Mytilus edulis: one gene and its partner. The protein of the gene in region 1 purifies or fractionates together with the protein of each later gene. This does not show direct contact. Links are inferred from orthologs where the notes say so. Each region holds a gene or a part of one and is shown in the gene's direction. Other genes may lie near its edges.

Evidence for each region. The genes of interacting proteins can lie anywhere in the genome.
Region 2: the proteins of dnaJ homolog subfamily C member 11-like (region 1) and MICOS complex subunit MIC60-like purify together in Homo sapiens (co-immunoprecipitation; 3 studies listed by BioGRID and IntAct, with this or other methods). This does not show direct contact. The link is inferred for Mytilus edulis from reciprocal best matches to the Homo sapiens genes DNAJC11 and IMMT.

The regions. Positions count from the first base shown.
Region 1 is NC_092356.1:64,899,191-64,910,157, forward strand, and holds the start of dnaJ homolog subfamily C member 11-like, read left to right. Parts: upstream 1-6,983; 5' UTR 6,984-7,026; coding exon 7,027-7,098; intron 7,099-10,259; coding exon 10,260-10,389; intron 10,390-10,967. Other genes in the region: dnaJ homolog subfamily C member 28-like, read right to left, coding at 42-208, 1,522-1,635, 2,066-2,683.
Region 2 is NC_092347.1:95,492,666-95,503,252, reverse strand, and holds the start of MICOS complex subunit MIC60-like, read left to right. Parts: upstream 1-6,247; 5' UTR 6,248-6,346; coding exon 6,347-6,385; intron 6,386-8,542; coding exon 8,543-8,652; intron 8,653-10,251; coding exon 10,252-10,425; intron 10,426-10,587. UniProt on the Homo sapiens protein: Component of the MICOS complex, a large protein complex of the mitochondrial inner membrane that plays crucial roles in the maintenance of crista junctions, inner membrane architecture, and formation of contact sites to the outer membrane.

The DNA.
Region 1 (10,967 bases):
ACTGGTTATGTATAATATTGCTAGTTACTTTTACTGCTGACCTTATTTTACTTTTCTTGGCTTGCTTCTTATTAACTGCTAATGCTGATGTTTCTGTTTGCAAGACATTTTTACTCATTCTGAACTCTGTCACAACTTCTGAAGCTCTTTGTACTTTATATTTGTCATATTGGGTCTGTCTCTGGGTAGGGTTACCAAATCCTATACCCTGGAATAAATATATGAATTATAATGTCAATACTTGTACTTTATGTTTTTTATATTGGATCTGTCTTTGGCTAGGGTTACTAAATCCTATACCCTGCAATAAATATACAAATTAAAATGTCAATACTTATATTTCGATATGGTTTTAATATTGGTTTTACTATACATCCATAAATAAGTATATATACCACGCTATTTACGAGTTAACATATTTAAACAACAAATCTGCAGTTTGTTTAAATATGTTAATGAGTAAGGCGTGGTGTATATGTTTTGTAACATCATTTAAAAGTGGCCTGGTGATTTTTTATTTAATAAAAAAACAGTGGGAGTGTCATTTTAGCCCGCTGCTTAGCTCGCGCACTAGAAAATCGATCCAGTGGGGAATATGACACATCAGACATGACAAAAAGTTATTTTTCTAAATTGAGCAACTCTGGCTACTCTAAATCAGGCACATACCATTTGATTTTTTTGGGGCCTGGGAATATTTAGAACAAAATATTCCGGCTCTTTTTTGTCATAAATTATGTTAACTCGTAATGTTTAAAAAAAAAAAAAGATTTTCCCCAACAAAACTGTATTGCAACAAAATCTTATTGCATTTATGAAATGCATTGGCAAAAATATTCCGGCTCAGGTATAAACATATCATTGACATATAATAAGTGGTTCCATGTACACTAAACTAGCTACACCTAAACTACAAATATGCAAACAAGAATGTGTCCATAGTACACAGATGCCCCACTCGCACTATCATTTTCTATGTTCAGTGGACCATGAAATTGGGGTCAAAACTCTAATTTAGCATTAAAATTAGAAAGATCATATCATAGTGAAAATGTGAACTAAGTTTCAAGTTCATTGGACTTTAATTTCATCAAAAACTACCTTGACCAAAATTTTTAACCTTGAGCGGGACAGAGGATGGATGGACAGACAGACTGACGGACTAATGAACAGACGAACAGATGCATAGACCAGAAAACATCATGCCCCTCTATTATCGTAGGTACATGTGTAGGTGGGGCATAAGAAAAATCAAAATGTCACTGAACCATCACTGAGAACGGGACCATGAAATCTTGCAAATGAGATGTGTTTATGCTTATACAATGTATAAAAGCATACAGTTACCAAAAAATAATTACCTACCATTTAATACTAATAGAGGTTTTAAACTCAGACCTAATCATATTTTTTTTACATGTAAATTATGCAAAATTGTCATGACTGAGGAGCCAAGTCGAATACATTGTAATCTCCATGGAAATTGAATGTATCAATCTCAGTGTGTGTGTGTGTACATACCTCATTACCAAGGTATTGTCTATGCTGAGGTAGTGTGTGTGGAAAGTCAAATATACCCTCTTCCTGCTCTTCAACCATGTCAACTGGCATCTGTAGATCAGCTCTCATATTTGCCTGCAGAAAAAAAATAGTTATTTATTAACTTACAATGATCAGAAAATGTGTTGCCACTATGCCACACTTAAAATATATGAAATTTACTGTGTCAAATATTGGATGGTGCTTTTACATTTTATAGCTACAAATGTAGTCTATTATTATTTCTCAATTAAAAAAAAATCAATTTTAACATTTAATTTTCTTCCTTTCTTATGATTTCTTTATGCCATATAGTAATGTAACCAAAGACACAAATATTTTTTAGGTTTACAATTGAAAAAAGTTTGCAAACATATAACCTATGCTCTAAAAATGCATTAGAGAAACAGATTCCATTACTGCCCATTGATCTTGTTTAATATATCATCATGCATTTCACACACATTGAATTCTGGATATTTTTTTATAGGATCTCAATCTCAATTGATGAAACCACTGATCATACCCTTATGGCTTTATAAGCATCCTGAATCTGTGAGAACTTGCGAGGACATGCTGTTGATGTCCCACTGTCTGGATGATACTGTTTAGCCAGTCGTAGATAGGCCTCTCGTAACTCCTCCTCCGTACAGTCAGGTGACAGGTTAAATAATGAATAACAGTCTTTGACATTGTTTTTTAGCTTATAACCAATCTGACAATTAATACTACTGGTGGAAATGAAGTGTTGTCCACAGACAAATACCTTTCTTTTCAAGCATAAAACTGAAGAAAAATTCTGATGCAATTTGTTTTTTCCTCTCAAATTTGCTTCTTTCTGTCCTGAACCTGACATGGAGAAGTAGGATAAAATGACATGTGATCCTCTGCTATTAACCCTAGATACATTTATCATTTTGTTTAAGGTAAATTTATCACAACAACTTAAAGACCTTGCTACCAGAGCAGTTGAAATAAGCCTGTTACAACAAAATGTAAATGTAGACATCACATTGACTGAAGTCCGTCTTTTACTACAGCGACAAGATCGTTGATATGTGCTGATGTTTGAGCGGGATAATGTATTTTTCTGTGGTAATAAATGAACATGTTGATGTAATATGTGTATCCTGTTTTGTAACATTTCCTAGGTGACTGTATCAGTGAATATCATGACTGTTCTCCTCAAAACAACAAGACCTGTGATGATGACTGTTGTTCTCAAATCATCTTTAGTGTTTACTTCTCTGTTTCTGTAAAATAATCATGATAATTATCATATTGTTTATTTTATTTACCCAGAAATAACCTAGAACAAATATGGTTAACATGGTTAAGTGTCTGTTTTTCTTTTAACATATTTTATTCAAATTCAGTATAATTTTATTCTTTTAATGTGCATTTACGTTTAATTCTTTTTTTCTATAACTATTGAATGCATTTAATACAAAATATTATTTATTATTTGCATTCTATAACCAATATTTTTTGTGTATCTTTCACGTTTCATTCCCGATCATGTGACAGTTTCTTATAAAATCAGTTGCGTGTATGAATAGCCTCCGAAAGCCAAATTGGATACGCATCCACTCATGTGGGTACATGCATCCACTGTCTTAAGTAAACTGTTGAGCTAGCCGGGTATAATTTCATGAGACAAATTATTAGTCCAAATAATTATGACATCTTCAAATGGTTTTTTTTTTTTTTTTAGCTTTGATCAGGTCTTACTGTATTGACTGTAGTACCAATAATTATGACATCTTGCAAGGCTAATGGCAATTTTTTTCTGAAAAACGATTCACAATAAAATGTTTGTAAAATGTTGCATGTGGCCAGTTTAAGATACCTAAACACACAAATTTCTATAGCAAGGATTTTGTGGAAGCAAGTTAACTCGTACCAACGGAAACTCGTACCATGTTAACTCGTACCAAAAAAGTTAACTCGTACCAACTTAAAGTCGTACCACTGGGAAGTCGTACCATTAAAAAAAATGTTTTGTGGTGTTTTTTCTTTCTAAAATTAATTAAAAAAAGTTGAATTACTGTAATTTTATACTGGATTTTAATGAAAACTTGGACAAAAATACGTTTTTTTTTTATTAAGATACTAATATAAATGGTCTTAATTACCTTATTACCCTGCTAATTAATATACGATATTCATTTGATGTAATAAATATGAAAAATATTGAATACGTAGATTCAGTAAAATTGATAATGAGAAACAAGAACATGATTGCAAATACATATAAAGATATTCTTATTCCAACTAAAGGGGCCATGAAGAGCAAAGTAATTTTTTACAATGATTTTATAATTGTTACAATAATGTTGACATATATATTATCAACGTCTTCAATAAACAATATCTATACTATATTGATAGTTTTCTTAGTTCTCAATATATATTATTTATTGATATATCATTATTCATAACATCTCATTTTATTTCAGACAGCCTACTACCAGAAGGACACTGTGTACAAGTTTGTCAAGAATCTCATGGCCCTATCATTTCTACCGGCAGAACACATCCCTACTACCTTTGAGGACATTGCCACCAAAGCAAAATCTGCCAGAACAAAAGAGCTTGACGCCTACGTAAAGAACACTTGGCTGTCATCAACCGTCTGGCTCGTACCATCATGGAGTATCTACATGAGATCTCGTGCAAAATATTATATATAAAAAAATTCATACTTTTAACATGTTGGTCATAAACAATTTACAACCTTTAAAACACACTAAATTAATTCTTTCAGTGAATAAAATTCCTTCGAGAAACAAAAGAAAAGTAGACAAATCTATTCAATGTAACTGATTTGGAATGATTAAAAATTAAATCCAATGGTTATCAGTATAAGTTTAAAAAAGAATGATTCAAGGGAGACAACAAATCAAATCTGCCAAGGTATTGTCTATATCTAATACACATGGAACATTAGCTACAGACTAGTCATTTTACTTTCAAATTATAAACATTTTACAGACTTAAGAGGTTTTGAGAAAAATAACAGTATACATCGGTCTCACTAATTAGCGACAACAAGAATTTTAGCGACAACAAGCGTCAACAAGCGACAAGAAGCGACAACAAGAATTATTTAAGCGACAAACAGCGACAAGAAACTATTTAGCTGTTATTTAGCGACAAGAAAACATTTTTTTTAATTAAAATTAATTATTGCAATAAATATTAAAAGAATATGCAAAAGAAAATAATTTTAGCGACAAGAAAGTTAAAATTGATAGAAAAAAATGAAACATTATTTACATAATATTTTATCATCTATTATGAATAACAGCCAGTATTACGTTTAATTATTGTATTATGAGATTACTTTTCCTTGTGTTTTAGAACATATTATTTATCTTATAATTTGTATTTTAAAACTCTTTTCGTGCAATATGTATTAAGCTCGCAAAATGAATTACTTGTGCATCATTGTCCTGAAAATATTGACACAAATTGTGAAATACAAAGAACTGAAACCAAACAGGAGGAAAAGAAAATTGAAATGTGAATGTTTTCATCTTTTTATTTGTTTATTGCCTCATTAAACGATATTTATCATGTTTATGCATATTGATTGAAGATGAAAGGAAATTAATGACAATCTTGAGTTTTCAACAGGTGTTCACTATTTACAATGATTGTATAGTCTGGCGCGTGTAATTGTATAGTCTGACGTGTGTACAAAGTTGAAGGTGTTAATTGGATGTTATTGTAGCAATAAAACAGGGGACACGCCACTCGTTAATCTCATTTGATGTTCCACATTGTGTGTACTGTTATTACCTTAAGGTGAAGCCACATCTAATGTTGTTCCTATCAAGAACAATGAATTATACTGTTAGAAAGGAAATAATATTTCATGTTTTTGTTTCAATAAATCCTTCAAAGGAAAGTTGACCTTTTTTTTGGGGGGTTTTTTCCGCAAAAGTACGTGATCTGTATATGGACCCCAAGGTAGAACCACGTCCTCGTCGTGGGCTCTGAAAACACGCTTAAATAATAAAGATGGCAAAGCGTGGCTGAGAGTTTTACAAATAAAGCATCGAATTGACATAACAAGAGTACACTTAGAGCATAGTATTAAGCAAATGAATCAAAATATTATATTCCATTATGCCCGCTCCATATGTATCTCCATTCGTTTATTCATACTTTGACTTTGATGAAAACAGATTCATACATTATCTTATACATATTCTTCATATTTAAAAATTAAAAAAAAGAAGCTCAATCTCTTTCTTTTTCACAAATGTTAAATTTCTTCATCTACCAATATACTAATATAAACTTCACAATCTCTTTCTTTCTCACAAATGTTTCATTTCTTCGTCTATCTGTAACAATGGAGACATTGAAGATGAACTTCACTTTCTTTTAAAATGTTCCTCCTATAAATATGTGAGAGATAACCTTATTAAAAAATTAAATAATGTTCTATTGAACAACAAATTTTCTTCCTTATCATATAACTTGCTTATATCAATTCTAAATAGTAATTCCCAAACAATATTAAAAATTGTTGTCAACTATTTGAATGAATGCTTGTTGCATGGATTAAAAGGTACTTGATTTTTGTAATCATGTATATGCTTCTCATTTATTTTTTATATATTTCTCTCATAATTATCCACTGTCACTCCTTCATTGTATATATGTTATTGTAGTTAGTCTTTAATTTGTTGCCATAACCATTTATTGTCAATGTGTTAGTGCTAATAAAGTTATCTTATCTTATCTATATAATAAAACATTTTAATTAGACATATCTGCTCGTATATTTAAAAAAAAAACATTACATACAAATTTCTTTATATCTAATAAAAAAAAAATGTTTTCTTGTCGCTAAATAGTTTTCTTGTCGCTTGTTGTCGCTAAAATAAATTTTGTTGTCGCTTCTTGTCGCTTGTTGACGCTTGTTGTCGCTTGTTGACGCTTGTTGTCGCTAATTAGTGAGACCCGCTTACATTCATAATTAAACACCAATCAAATGCATTTAAATAAGTTGGTACGAGTTAGCAGTGGTACGAGTTTACATTGGAACGAGTTATATTTTAGTGGTACGAGTTAACGTTGGTACGAGTTTACATTGGTACGGGTTAACTATAATTCGATTTTTGTTTATCCTTGTGCATATAACAGCTGTTTTCTAATCCTGCTTTTTTAGTTTTTGCTTAATAAAATCATAAATTATTTAGACATAAATAAATATACATCAGCAATATATCATATATCAACTACGTCACATTAATCAGCCTAATCTTCTTTGTTTTTCTTGAAATGTGTATGCTCGATGCTCCTCAGCATAGCCGTAAACTTTACCATTACATAAAAACAACATGACCCCAATCATGACCTATACATACTGGTATTGTAGGACGTAAACCAGTTTGACTATCGGCCTGGTATCAAACAGCATATTTATGCCTTTGCTCTCTATTGTATTTTTGTAGGGTACCAGATTGAAGAATGGCAGCGTTCATGGAAGAAGATGGTCTTGCATCTGAAGATTTATATGCTGTTTTAAACGTCGAGCGAAAGGTATTAATATAGCAATTTTATCATTTAAGAACTGTTTATGACAAATTATTTTGATTTCAAATTTAAAGCCACATATTTGACTAAACTGACCCTTTTGACATTGAATTACATCATGCACATTTTTCATTTATTTTTGTATGTAATTTCTGCATCTGGATAAGTCTGTCAAGTTTTAATGTCAAGAAATACGTATAAACTCATAAAACTTGCAACTATACATGGGATTAATAAAACGGCTTTCTATTCACCTTATTGCTTTTCCCAGCTGACATGAGAATCTGTCCGGCTTGAACTTTAGTCTATACACCTTATCGCTATCCCGTCTGACCCGGCCGCTTGAACTTTTGACGTCTTACAACAATCACTTTTCAACTGTGGCGTCAGATATTTTGTTATACGACGGTAAACAAAAATAATATGGCAGAGAATACGTTTCAACCAGGAACAGGTGTAGCTCCTGCTACCTTAGTCGAGTTGTCGATTTCTTGTCGGTATCAGTCATAAATGAGAGTCAACATCTTCCTAGGTTTATAGCTTTAATAATAAGGATGACTGATACCTGAAATGAATGTATACAGTATATTAGTAAATGATTAGTTAGGAACCAGTATGATATCCAGTAATTGCAGACAAATATAGATAAGGTGTACAACAATCACTTTTCCATTGTGGCGTCAGATATCTTGTATTATCACGTCAAAACTTTACGGGAACCTGTGTGATTTCTAGGATAAGAGACAAATAGAGATAAGGTGTATTCTAATGTCTGCATACACCTTATTGCTGTTTGGAAATCTGACTATCTGTCCAAGTTGAACTCTAAATATGTTCGGCTTGAGCTACATGTATTGACGTCATACAAAATCAATTTTCCATTGTGACGTCAGATATTTTAGTTTTGCAAGTTTTATGACTCTGAACTTTCTGTGTAAGACACAGATGTGAAGCCCACCCCTCCAGAAAACCGAGTTTCAGCCGATTTCAATTTTCCAAGACCGTATTTGTGCTCAAAATGCAACTTATACATCATTTGTACATGAGAAACATGAATATGGATAGCCTCAGGTTGACAGAACATGCATAGATTTTAACATAAGTATCAGGCCACCCTTAAAAAATTGTTTGTTTGGCATTGCCGACCCACATGTACACTATCAGCAGGTGGGTAGGTAGGTAGGGATTTTTTTTTTTTTTACATTTAAAAGCTTTATACATGTAAATCATGAAGTCTCTAGACCAATGTTGTCTAAAGCATTGCAGCATTGTTGTGTGTACATGCTGGTGGTTTCTTTGAACGGGGTCAACCGTCAATGTCACATTCTACATCATATGGATAATTTCATGTAAGACAGTCAGTTTTGTTGGCAGAGTTAACCAAAGGACCCAGAAAAAAACACAGAACTGAGGCAGGAAACTGACAAATTAACCATATAAAATGTACAATGTATGACGTGAAAATTGAACTTTTATTGTGGGACTGCCAATTGAACAGAGGCCTGATGTCACATCTTGTGGTCACAGTTTGGTAAAATTACCATAAGTTAAATGGCTCAACCACTACGGCTCCTTGTACAAATGGACAAAGATTTAAAACTTTTATTGTTTGCTTTGGTTTTATAAACATCACTTTCTACACCGTATGTAATTTCATGGCAGTCAGTTTTGTTGGCATACTATTAAACCGTAGTACTTGAAGGAAAACGGCGGCAACCTGCGGGAAGAAACTGACTAACCTTATCACATATGACATGAAAATCAAACCTTAATTTTGCAACTGCCCAACTAGGGCTCAAACCAATACCTAGAGGCTAGTAATCATACATGAAAGGTGTGACGAACTACCATACAAACACGCCTACTGCCCCTGATAAGTTTTGAGGATATAGGATCTGTACCAAATAAGGATAGCAAAATATTAAAAATTTGGAAGGTTGGCACAAATAGACATGGTGTTTATACTAATATTATCCATTAGTGCAAGGTTTTTCAGGGCTATAGGTTTAAAATGTATGATAAATTCAAAATGGAAATATGCAGCAGGACAGACAATTTTTGCAGATAAATAAATTATGGGTTGTAATGCTTGTTTGATTAACAGAAATCTGGACATGCATTACATGAATACAGATAAATTAATGAGCCCTTAGAATTGTGGAAAAGGAAGGGATTTTATTCATCACTAGTACACTAGATACATTTATAAATATGTTTCTGTCAGTATCTTTTATGTTTTAAGAATTATTTTATTCATGTTAAGAAGAAAGGCAAGAAAAGGGGGAAGTACTTCAATTGACACAAGATGCTAGTCTTTAAAATATGTATGTTTTGTACCAGGCTAGCATCTACTGGTACAAAACTACTATAAACCTGTAAATCTGGGACCGTTTTGGTCTATGGGCTTTAGTGCTTACAGCCATAATTATCTTGAATGCATCATTGTGGTTCTGACTATAGTAGATACTTTGTTCTCTGGTTCAAGGGAAAATTTGTCAATGATACATTTCAAATATTTAATAAGTTCAACAAATGTAAGAGCCACGCATATTTGTTCTGTGATGTCCCGGAGAAAAACTTCTATCTCATGAAGCGACAAAGTCGAGCAGAAATCATCTGTTTCTGCTTTTAGCCTTTACAAAAGATAAAACTTGAGTCCTCTACAAAGTCTCTCAGAACGTTTCTTTCAAAGAATAGCTGAACATTTGATTTTTGATAAAATCCATCTCCCTTAACCAATGCATTGATGCTTTCCCCTGCCGGCCTCTTTGACATTACTTTTGGCAAACTTTTTCTATTCCATGTCATTTAAATGTTTGCTCCCAATAAGGCAAGCGCTTTTAAGATCGTGATTTGAAAAAAGTAAAGCCAGGAACAAACTCGGCGGATACAATCAAATTCCGGCACAATTTCGATTTTTTTTTAAATAAAAAAAAATAAATTTCTGAAACGCAAATAAAATTATTTGGGCGGCAAGTTTTTCAGTGGGTCGGGCGGCAATGCCAAACAAATGAAATTTTATTTTAGGCCTCATAAAGTGGACTTCTAAAAGAATGGAACGCCATTGGAGCCAAATAACGTTGTTTTGGGTATGCCTGCCATATGACAGTCACGGCATGGTAAGGGTTAAGTTAACCATGTTAACCAGAAGTTTGTTTATATTTCAGGCTAGCACAGATGAAATCAATACAGCGTTTCGTAGATACAGTAAAATCTTCCACCCAGACAAACATTTAGATGATAAAAAAAAGAAGCATGCAGAAAACATGTTCAATAAAATCAAGAAAGCTCATGAAGGTAAACGATAAAATAAAGATGAATTTTCAAAAGCTCATTTATATATGCATCATGTACATGTAGCATTGTATGGAGATGAGTGACTCAAAGCAGGAAAAATACATTCAAAATTGGGTATTACCTAAAGAGACAAATTAAGAATTTTACAAACAATTTCACTGTACTTTACACCCTCCCATAATTGGAGTTTCCAAGTTCACTCCCTGGGTTCCATGACGTATATTTAATATTTTTTGGTATTCAGACCATATATCTCAACATGTCATGTATGTGCTCTAAGGTTAATTTCTCAAACATGTCTTAATTATTTCACTTATATTCAAATGGAAATCTCTTTTATTTGCATGTAGATGACATGACAACTTGCATTGATGAGAATATATGCACTGTATACCTAATTATTATTATGAGATGTAACAGATTTATAAGTGACAAAGATTGCTTGGGCATTTGTTAGGTAATAGCGTCAATGTCATGTAAATTGTCATAAAATTGCTCTTACCATATTGGAATCTCTGAACAGCAAACAGAATTAAATCTGAATCAACAAAAACAAACTAGACATGCTAGATAAGTTG
Region 2 (10,587 bases), on another chromosome or scaffold:
ATTGTTAATTAATTTACATGAAGCTTATTGAGGATATATTTGTTAAATTACATAGCTTTTGCTATTTTAATTCATTGGTTAAAGATATTTATTTATATTGTAAAGTTTAATATTTGCATCGTTGCAAATTCTTTGGTTACCTTCTGTGAGAAATTTATATATTTTATATAAGTACTTTTAGATTCTTATTTTGAATCCTCTGAGGACTGACATTCAATCCTACCAAGGAAAGCCAGGCTTTCCAACCAGAGTTTAGGTTAGTGCATCTGCTACATGCCTCCTTAGTATGATAATGTGAAATCATAATGAATGCTCCATTTCTACACTTTTGGCTTTACATAATAAAAGTTGTACTTTGTTGATTAAATTATATATTGTTTTCAGTTTTTGGTTTTCATTTACTTAGATATATTATAGCGCATCACTTTTGGCATCAGTCGTTTTCCGCACACATCAGTTTACAAACTAGAATTAACTGTGGTCCGCATCCCCGAATCTTAGGCAGAATTGTTCCTACTACATTTGGTAGTGCGGGTGGGGTGTGGAATTCTAAAGCAGCTTTTCTGGTTTGTAACTGAACAAAATTATATATAAGAAATGGAGCAGACATTTGAGTCAGTTATTGGTGCTACTGGATATGACAGTCCTAATCAGAGCAGTTTTGAATAGTTATTTCTGGGGTATTTTATTTTCATAGTTTGGTTCATTTTGTAAATGTTTATTCAGTTATGATGAGGTTTGAAGAAAAACCTTGTTTGTTTGATGGTATAAGCATTGATATTACAGATTATTTTGTTCATTTTGAGACAGTTTCTCTTTGGAATCAGTGGAATGAATTTGAGATGGCATGTCAGTTGATAATGAATTTGAGAGGTGATGCTCAAACTATCTTACGTTTCTTAAAGAGGCCACAGTTATACGATTATGACTGCTTGAAAAATGTTCTCATTCAGAGGTTCAATCCTAAGGAGAGGGTGGCATATTTTAAATTTCAACTGCGAGTTTGTAGTTTGAAGGAAAATGAAACAATTTCAGAATTTGGTCAGCGTTTCAAGATACTTGCTCATAAGGCTTATCCTGATAATTTTTCAGATTTGGATTCATATTTTACTGACTTATTTACATCATGTTTGAATATTGAGATGGCTAAATTTGTCACTTTTAAGCATCCTCATAGTTTAGATGAGGCTTTATCACTAGCTATTGAATATGAAGCTGTTCATTTTTCTGGTGATCATGAGATTATTGATGAGACAGAAAGTTTAGATTGTTGTAAAACAGTTCATAACAGTTTTGAAATTTTAATTAATATTTTGAGAAGGCGATTGAAATCACGTAGGAAACATAAACCTAAGAGATGTTTTAAATGTCACCAGTCAGGTCATGTCAGGTCTAAGTGTCCAAATATGTCTATCAAAGTTCATGCTAGAGATGAAAGGTCTGCAGATAGTCAAGTAAAGCTCTCAGAAATAGGCGGGATGTTGAGGAATGATCATTGTAGTTCAGATTGTGTTACCTTTGTTTAATATGGTTGTTTTTACATTGTGTTGTAAATATATAGTTATACTTTATTTTTATGTCAATGTACTCATAGGTGTCATGCGTCTCAGTTTTGACTGTTTGGGTTTTTTTCAAAGGGAGGGATGGCGCACATCCCAACTTGTTTTATTTTTCATTTTCAATACTGGCTTGAATTATGGCTGATCCTCTGTGTAGTTTGAAGTGTAGACTGTTAGCTAGTATTAAGTAGGAATTGGTTTGTTTTATGAGTTGTTGCTCGTTTGTCTGGATTGTAATCTCTAGCCAATTATTTATTATTTGGAGAGTTTACAGGAGACCGACTTCTTGACTTTTGTCATGGCAGAAACCAATAGAGTGAAAGTTAAGCTTAAAGTTAGGAACACTTCTAGCCTATACAGATGGATCTGATCCATTATTTGGTACCATGTAAAGTTTGGGCATCGTTTAACTTTATTTTGAGAACCTTGCATACAGATGGACCCGATCCATCTCCGGTGGCACAACGTCTGTGTTACCGTTATCAACAACGTTGGAATGCAGTAAAAGAACCCGGTGGTACACGTCAAATGTGCCACTGTGAGATCAACATTGGTGGACATTGCCTGGTATAACTTTTCATGTTGGATTTCAACCGTTAGCTGTGCCTTATCCTATATGCCGTTCCACTGATTCTGAAGCCTACTTACAAAGAAGACCTCAAGTTGCGTCCGTTATCCTTTGAAACTGATGCCGATGTTTGTTTGTGTATGTGTTAAACAGTGACATTTATCTAAAAGTGATAGTTTTACATTTGCTTGAAAGACATTTTATCTGATGAACGTTGATGGACTTTTGTTAAATTTCACCGTCAAATGTTATTTCATATACATTTGTTTTCGAAGGGAGGAGGAGGGTATCAGACTGGTGTTGCGGTCTCCTTGAACAGTCTCGTGATTCAACTTAAACTGATGTATTTTGGATTTAATGTTTGATCCTGACATTTGGATTTTGCGTACATATTGATGCAGATACATGAATTTGATAGACATTTCAGTTTGCAGACTTTAATTGATGAAATTTTTCGTTTGTCTTAGGGGGGAGGAATGTAGCAGACAGAGTTATTAGTTAATTTTTAGCTCCCTTTGGTAAAACTCTAAATTTCATATTTGATGTATTTCATTGTTAATTAATTTACATGAAGCTTATTGAGGATATATTTGTTAAATTACATAGCTTTTGCTATTTTAATTCATTGGTTAAAGATATTTATTTATATTGTAAAGTTTAATATTTGCATCGTTGCAAATTCTTTGGTTACCTTCTGTGAGAAATTTATATATTTTATATAAGTACTTTTAGATTCTTATTTTGAATCCTCTGAGGACTGACATTCAGTCCTACCAAGGAAAGCCAGGCTTTCCAACCAGAGTTTAGGTTAGTGCATCTGCTACATGCCTCCTTAGTATGATAATGTGAAATCATAATGAATGCTCCATTTCTACACTTTTGGCTTTACATAATAAAAGTTGTACTTTGTTGATTAAATTATATATTGTTTTCAGTTTTTGGTTTTCATTTACTTAGATATATTATAGCGCATCACTTTTGGCATCAGTCGTTTTCCGCACACATCAGTTTACAAACTAGAATTAGCTGTGGTCCGCATCCCCGAATCTTAGGCAGAATTGTTCCTGCTACACTTTACAACTATTTACACCACTGGGTCTATGCCACTGCTCAGAGGCGGATCCAGGGGGTGGTCACCCGGTGCCGGTGACCACCCCCTGGGTTTGCAAAAATGGTGCACCATGTACCAAAAAGTGGTGCACCTTGAACATTTTGAAAAATAAATTCGTCGATCAAATCAATTTGTCTATCGTAATCACCAGTCATAAAGTTGTCATTACTTACCTTAAGGCTAAATACATGTACTTTGACAGGTATGTTTATACAATGAACATGTAATCAACAATCGCTAATTATTTGATCGATTTCTTTGATGTTAATTAAGGTGTAAAAATGAAGAGACAGTCCTCAATCTTAGATGTTTTTAGCAGATAATTTATACTTTTTTACATTACGTTTATCTAAATTTTTAAAGTTTGTATAATAACTTTTCTCGACCAATAATATTTTTTTACTGTGATGCCAAAATTCAAAAATAATTTTAAAGTTTTAAAGTCACATAAATATTTTTGCGCCTGTCCCAAGTCAGGAGCCTCTGGCCTTTGTTAGTCTTGTATTATTTTAATTTTAGTTTCTTGTGTACAATTTGGAAATTAGTATGGCGTCCATTATCACTGAACTAGTATATATTTGTTTAGGGGCCAGTTGAAGGACGCCTCCGGGTGCGGGAATTTCTCGCTACATTGAAGACCTGTTGGTGACCTTCTGCTGTTGTTTTTTTCTATGGTCGGGTTGTTGTCTCTTTGGCACATTCCCCATTTCCATTCTCAATTTTATTTTTTATATATTGAATGAATACCCCCGTTCCATCATCTGTTTGTCTAAAAGTTTCGTTCATTCAAATTTTTTAGTAACTTATACCCTCTTTCCTTCAGGAAACGCCACAAATCAGCCCCTCTGAAGTACCAACGACTTGTAATGGACCTAGCATTGATACGAATAAGAGTGATCAGATTAAAGAAACAACCCCCGACTTACATACATGTATAAGTTCAGTGAGTGCTGGTGGACGTTTCGTCCCCGAGGGTATCACCAGCCCAGTAGTAAGCACTTAGGTGTTGACAAGAATATCAATTATATGGTCATTTTTATAAATTTCGTGTTTACGCGTATGGCTTATCATAAGCCTGGTACCTTTGATAACTCTTTGTCCTTCATATAAATGGGGATATATACGATGCTACATCAAAAGTAGTGTGTAGATAGTGTTGTTGCACTTTTATATTTTAGATTTCAAAATTACATATAAGTAAGTAAGTAAGTAAGTAAGTAACTATAAATAAGAGTATATAGAAGAACCAGGCCTGTCCTTGATCAAAACGTAAACTTCGTTAAGTTTGTTTTATTTCATAATGCTGATATATACTAAGAAAAGAACAATCATGCTCCTCAGATGAATGGTCGGTGCTCTGCTGGAATTTATCAGTTTTAAAAACCTGAGACACATTTTTGAATCATGTGATACAACAAACATATCATTTAGTAAAACTGACGACGCTAATCATATAAGGGAGCAACCGTTTAACTTTAAAGGGGGTATGGTTTTTTGTCTGAGTCAGAAATATTTCCAAAACCTATCGATCATTTTTTTTTCAATATTTAACACCATAAGGTATAGCCGGGAAACTTGGAATAGAATGAAATTCAAAACAGTGTAGCTGTGGCCATTGATTGACACATTAAAATCATCCATTGACTGGGACAATTTACGTGAACGTTTGTCTGTAACGACCACTGTTCACGACGTACCTACGATAGACATTTAAACTGTGGGGTCACCAAAGGTTTCTTAACGCCTTTAATTATAAAATAATTCGAAAAATTAATCAGGAATAACCTTTGTGTTTTGATTTATATAATTGATAGAAATCAAAATATCGTGTTATTTCTGATTAATTTTTCGAATTACTTTATTTAGGTGTTGAGAACCTTTGGTGACCCCATAGTTTAAGTGTCTTTAAAAAGTACATAGTGAGCATTGGTCGTTACATACAAACGTTCACCTAAATTGTCCCAGTCAATGGATGATTTTAATGTGTCAATCAATGGCCACAGCTACACTGTTTTGAATTTCATTCTATTTTGTTTGTCATCTGCTTGACCAGAATACTTTTTTCGTCAAATTGTGGATCAGAGTAATCAGTGGGGAAAATATAACACACCATCGAAGTTAATTGACTAGTCTCCTGTCCAATAAGAAGGCACTCGGGCTAAAGTTACATGGAATTGATGTAACAATAATAATGATTTAATGTAACAACAACGCAATTTAATCGTAGGCATAATTATTATTGTTACATTCGTAATTAATCAGTTCCTTGCCCAACCCTGCATTCCGACAATAAGTCCCCAATGTAACATTTTTTTTTATTATTGTAAAATTTCAATATAATCGTAGCCAGCTGTGCCTAATAAAAACAGTTTTATTTTCTTTAGTATTCTTTCTAAAATTGTCAGTTATAAACAGACAGACTGAAATGATTTTACCAGCTCTTTTTGAAATTCTTCTTTGTCATCTCACTTTTCTAATAAACTTCACTTCAATATGTATTTGCAGAGACATATATGTCTCTGATATTTGAAAATGACAAAAGTATGACTATTAAATATGACAACCATAAAGTTTCCATATATTAATTAGACTGTGGCGTGGCACTTGATGATTTTCTTCTCTCAGTCAAAACTGACGTGTTGTCTCATGGCCTATAAAATTGAGAATGGAAATGGGGAATGTGTCAAAGAGACAGCAACCCGACCATAGAACAAACAACAGTAGAAGGTCACCAACAGGTCTATAATGCAGCGAGAAATTCTCACACACGCAGGCGTCCTATATATATATACACATTGGGAAAAAGATCTTTTAAGTAATATTACGTTGGTAAACAGAAAAATAAGATATAATACATTGATTCATTAGTTTAATTAAGCTTTGGGTTTATTTCTGTGTTTTTTTCCCTTCATTTGTTGATACTGGTATCAGTATGAAACTGTACATTATGGTGCTTTACAATCAAATTTTTTTGTTTGGGTTTAAGTTTTATCTGTTACTATTCAGATTCGGCACAAACTTACAATGTAAATCATCTGCTGAGTACAAAAGTCGTTGATGAAGGTTACCGGAAGTCAAATTGAAGAGCCGGTGTCCTACTGATTAGCAATGTGGAGGACAACATCTAGAGTGCCCCCCAAAATCAAGGTTAGTAAGTGAACTGAGGATGCCAAATATCTTCTTTTCTAAGGATTCCCTTTTCAGCTGATTAAAATCAGTACTGGACAACATGTCATGCCAAATTATCTGTCATTAAAGTCTTAACTTAAGTGCCATGGTGCCATTGGACACTTCTATGCTATGGGATACCTAAATAATGAAGAGGGTCTCATTGGGGGGGTTCCGATCCCGGATATTGCTTACTGTTTTGTCAGATTCCCGTATCCCGCTTACACTATGTACGCATTCAATTCTCATTTTTTGTAATTTCCTGTGTCCCGCTAGACTTCATCTCCCGTTTTCATGGCACAATAAATTGACTTTCACGTGTCACGTTTACAAACAATCGGCTATCCGGCATCACACTTAGACCCCAATGAGACCCACAAAGAATGAACACACAGTCTCACTGTAACAAATTCTCAGTTTGTATATTGACTTTTCCCCTGTGTTCATTGGTTTAATTACCAGTATCCTACCTAGTCTATAGTCGATCCTACCTAGTTGATTGTCGGTCATTTTGTTGGTTCGTTCAGACTTTGTTATTGTAATTATCACATGGGAAAACCAAGCAATCATGTCACTATGTCCCACTAGCGGCAGCGTAAAAAAATAGTGCAGAAGAGGTTTTTTCTACTCTTCTAAATATAAAAACATTTCTTAAGATACGTTTTCACTGTTATTCTTAATTATTGCTAAAAATGCCAATTTTCTTAATGCTGTTTCAAACCTGACTTCCAAATGCCTTAAAACATTTCAGAACTTCAAAAAATCCCACTTACGGGCTCCATCGCTTTTGTGTACATTCCATTCAGCTTCATCAATCTTAGTGGCAGACAAAACAGGCCAAGGAAATGGTATTTTTAAGAAATTCAAAATGACAGGCACCTTACGTCTTACACAATTTTAACTCTAAAAAAACCAATCCAAAATGAAAGGAAAACTTAGGGAAAAAATATGTTCATGCCATAATTTTGTTCAGGAATATAGAGTAGGTTATTAAAAAACAATATGTATATACATATATTTTTCATAAAAAAAAAATCAATCAATATATAAAGATCAATATACTGACCATCATGACCATAGGTAAATATTCATATAAAATTCCATTGATGTCAAAATTCATGGCTAAAAATGTTTTTTTTTATTGAATAAACCCCCCAATTTATTGCAAACTATTTCAAAGCAATATCACTCCAACAAATAATATAATTGCCTCAGTCTTTAAAAAAATCACCTAATTGATAATAAACCATTTGATTGGGTAGAATGAATTCAATGCATCACAAGGTTTTGACACCATTGGTATTTGAATGTAAACAAACAGGCCCTTTACAGGGTCAGCATCTTTAGTATGGCATACATAGTACATTCAGTGACTGAGAAAAATTGATGAGTAACCCTGCTTGTCAATACATTTGTACATGGTAATAATAAAACAAAGCTCAGTCTACAGGGAAAAAAAAAGAAAAAATGTGCCTAGATGAACGACTTATCACCATTTCAGGATATAATCTGAATAATCAGTCATCATGTTGGTAAGGACTTAGTAATTGTACTTATCACACCGAAAAATTCTGCATTCTAAGCTAATACCAGCATACAAAATTAGTGCAGAATATGTTTTTTAATATCTTCTAATATAAAAAAAAGAAGATGTGGTATGATTGCCAATGAGACAACTATCCACAAAAGACCAAAATGACACAGACATTAACAACTATAGGTCACTGTACGGCCTTCAACAATGAGCAAAGCCCATACCGCATAAACATGCCGAATAAAACAACCATTCTTTAGATACGTTTTCATTGTTATCATGGTTATTCTTAAGCATATTAAGAATTATACAGAAATGCAGATTTTCTAATGGCCATTTCAAACCTGACTTCAAATGCCTATAAACATTTTAGAAATTCAGAAAATCCCTCTTCCATGTCTGTAGCCTCCAGCTTTGTAAACATTCCATTAAGTGTCAATCAATCTTAATGGCAGACCAAACAGACCAAGCAAATTGTATTTTTAAGAATTTCAAAATGACAAGCACCGTCTTTACATGATTTTCCTGCTTGTAACATTTTAATCTGGATAACATTTTAAGACATATGAAAAAGATTTATTTCATTCTTTGTTTTGTTATAGATTCATGGAAGAAGATCTACAAGTACAAAGCCGCCAGTGGTTCCTCAGCCTCCTCTATCAACACCATTTGAAGCTAACCAACAACAACAACCACCGCCACCACCACCAAAGTATAATTTGTCTATCAGCAGGATAATACCTGTAAAACAAACTCATCTACAAATATCTTTTATAAAAATATTAAGTGTTGCTGTCCACATGGATAGATATAGTTGAAATTGATTGCCTATTTAAAAAACTATTTTACTTCAAACTTTAATAAAAGATAAATATTGAATTTACTAGACATGTTTTTATACAAGTAGCGATTAAACTACATGTTTACTCAACCAAGTGTAATTTGCATATATATGTAGGACTCTAAAGTGCGATGGGGACGCTAAAGTAGGATGGTCACGCTAAAGTGCGATGGTCTATGCTAAAGTACGATGCTTCCATACGCTAAAGTGCGATGGTCCGGGAAAATATAGACGTACAAAACGTAGTCGGATTATGACGTTAACAGTCGTTTATACAAACTAAAAATGAACATGACGGAAGATGAAATAAATAATGGAAGCGAACAGATGCATATTAATGTTTTCGTTTATACAAATCCTTGGTTTACGTTAAAATATTGTCGATTTTATTGCAGAGTATAAACGTCGGTAAAATAAAGGTACACGTTTGCAAGCGTAAATCATAACTTGTCCATTAAAACTTCAGTGTGTACATTGTATTAAAACATAACACTCGCTACGAAAAAGTGGAAAGCTCGAACAACAACCCCCTTCTGTCGTATTTAAATCAAAGCTTGTACAAATAAATTTAATTTATTCCGACAATGACCGAATTTTGTATTTGCAACTGACAAGGGGATGTTCACATTAATAGGCTGCGTAAACGGCAAGCTACACCAATTATTTAATACGCCCCTCGTCCTGAACATGCATTAAATATTTGTCACTGGACGTTAAGCAACCAACAACCAATCCAATACGCCCGAATTGTTAAAAAATCATTTAAATGAAATATAGTATTTTGTGACACCTAAATAACCTTTTTAGCAATGATAACTAGGTCAGTCTTCTAAATTCAGAAACAGTCACATAAGACTACCGGTAAAGTAAAAGCCTATCGCATTATATGTTAAATCATTGCAAACTAGATTTTGCAAAAAGACTTGTTTTTGACATTAGTGCCCTTGAACCTTTCTCATTTGTTCCATCGCGCTTTAGCGTGCCATACCATCGTACTTTAGCCAACAAACAAACATCGCCCTTTAGCGTGAGACACCGTCGTACTTTAGCGTAGACCATCGCACTTTAGCGTGACCATCGCACTTTAGAGTACCATCGCACTTTAGAGTCCTACATATATATATGATATATATACATTTCATGTATAATACATATAGAATATATAAAATAGAAGGAAAATTAATTCACCAGAAAGATTTATAAATACTGAAATATGAAATTGATACAAAAGATACAACTTTGATGCATATCATGTATACATAAACTTCTGATGCACCCATGGCACAATTTAAGCAATTCTGAAAGCACGCTATGCTTAAAACTTATTAGTGCAAGGGAACTGAAATTCATTTAACAGAACTAAGTTGACACCATATATACATGCCATATTACATACTCCCAATTGCAAGGAATTGAGTACTTTTACATATAAATATAAATGTACATTAATAATTGTAAATTGTTTTCCAGGAAAGGTGGTGGTTTCTTCAAGTTTCTTGGGTTGACAACCTTAGCAGCTGGTGGAGTGGTAGGGTATGCCTGGTATGATTCTAACTTCAGGAAACAGATAGAAGACAATGTACCATACAGTAAAGATGCTTTTGATGCTCTGTTTCAGTTAATACCAACTTCTGAAACTATTAAGTAAGATAAAAATGGATCTATCAATCATATAAGAAAATAATTATTAGATATTAGCGCAAATATTTTAGCAGATTATGTTAATTCCAATATACATGATAAACCACAGACACAATGTCGGTTTCTTACTAGTTGTCTTAAAATTTATTTCCTTCCGCTGATACA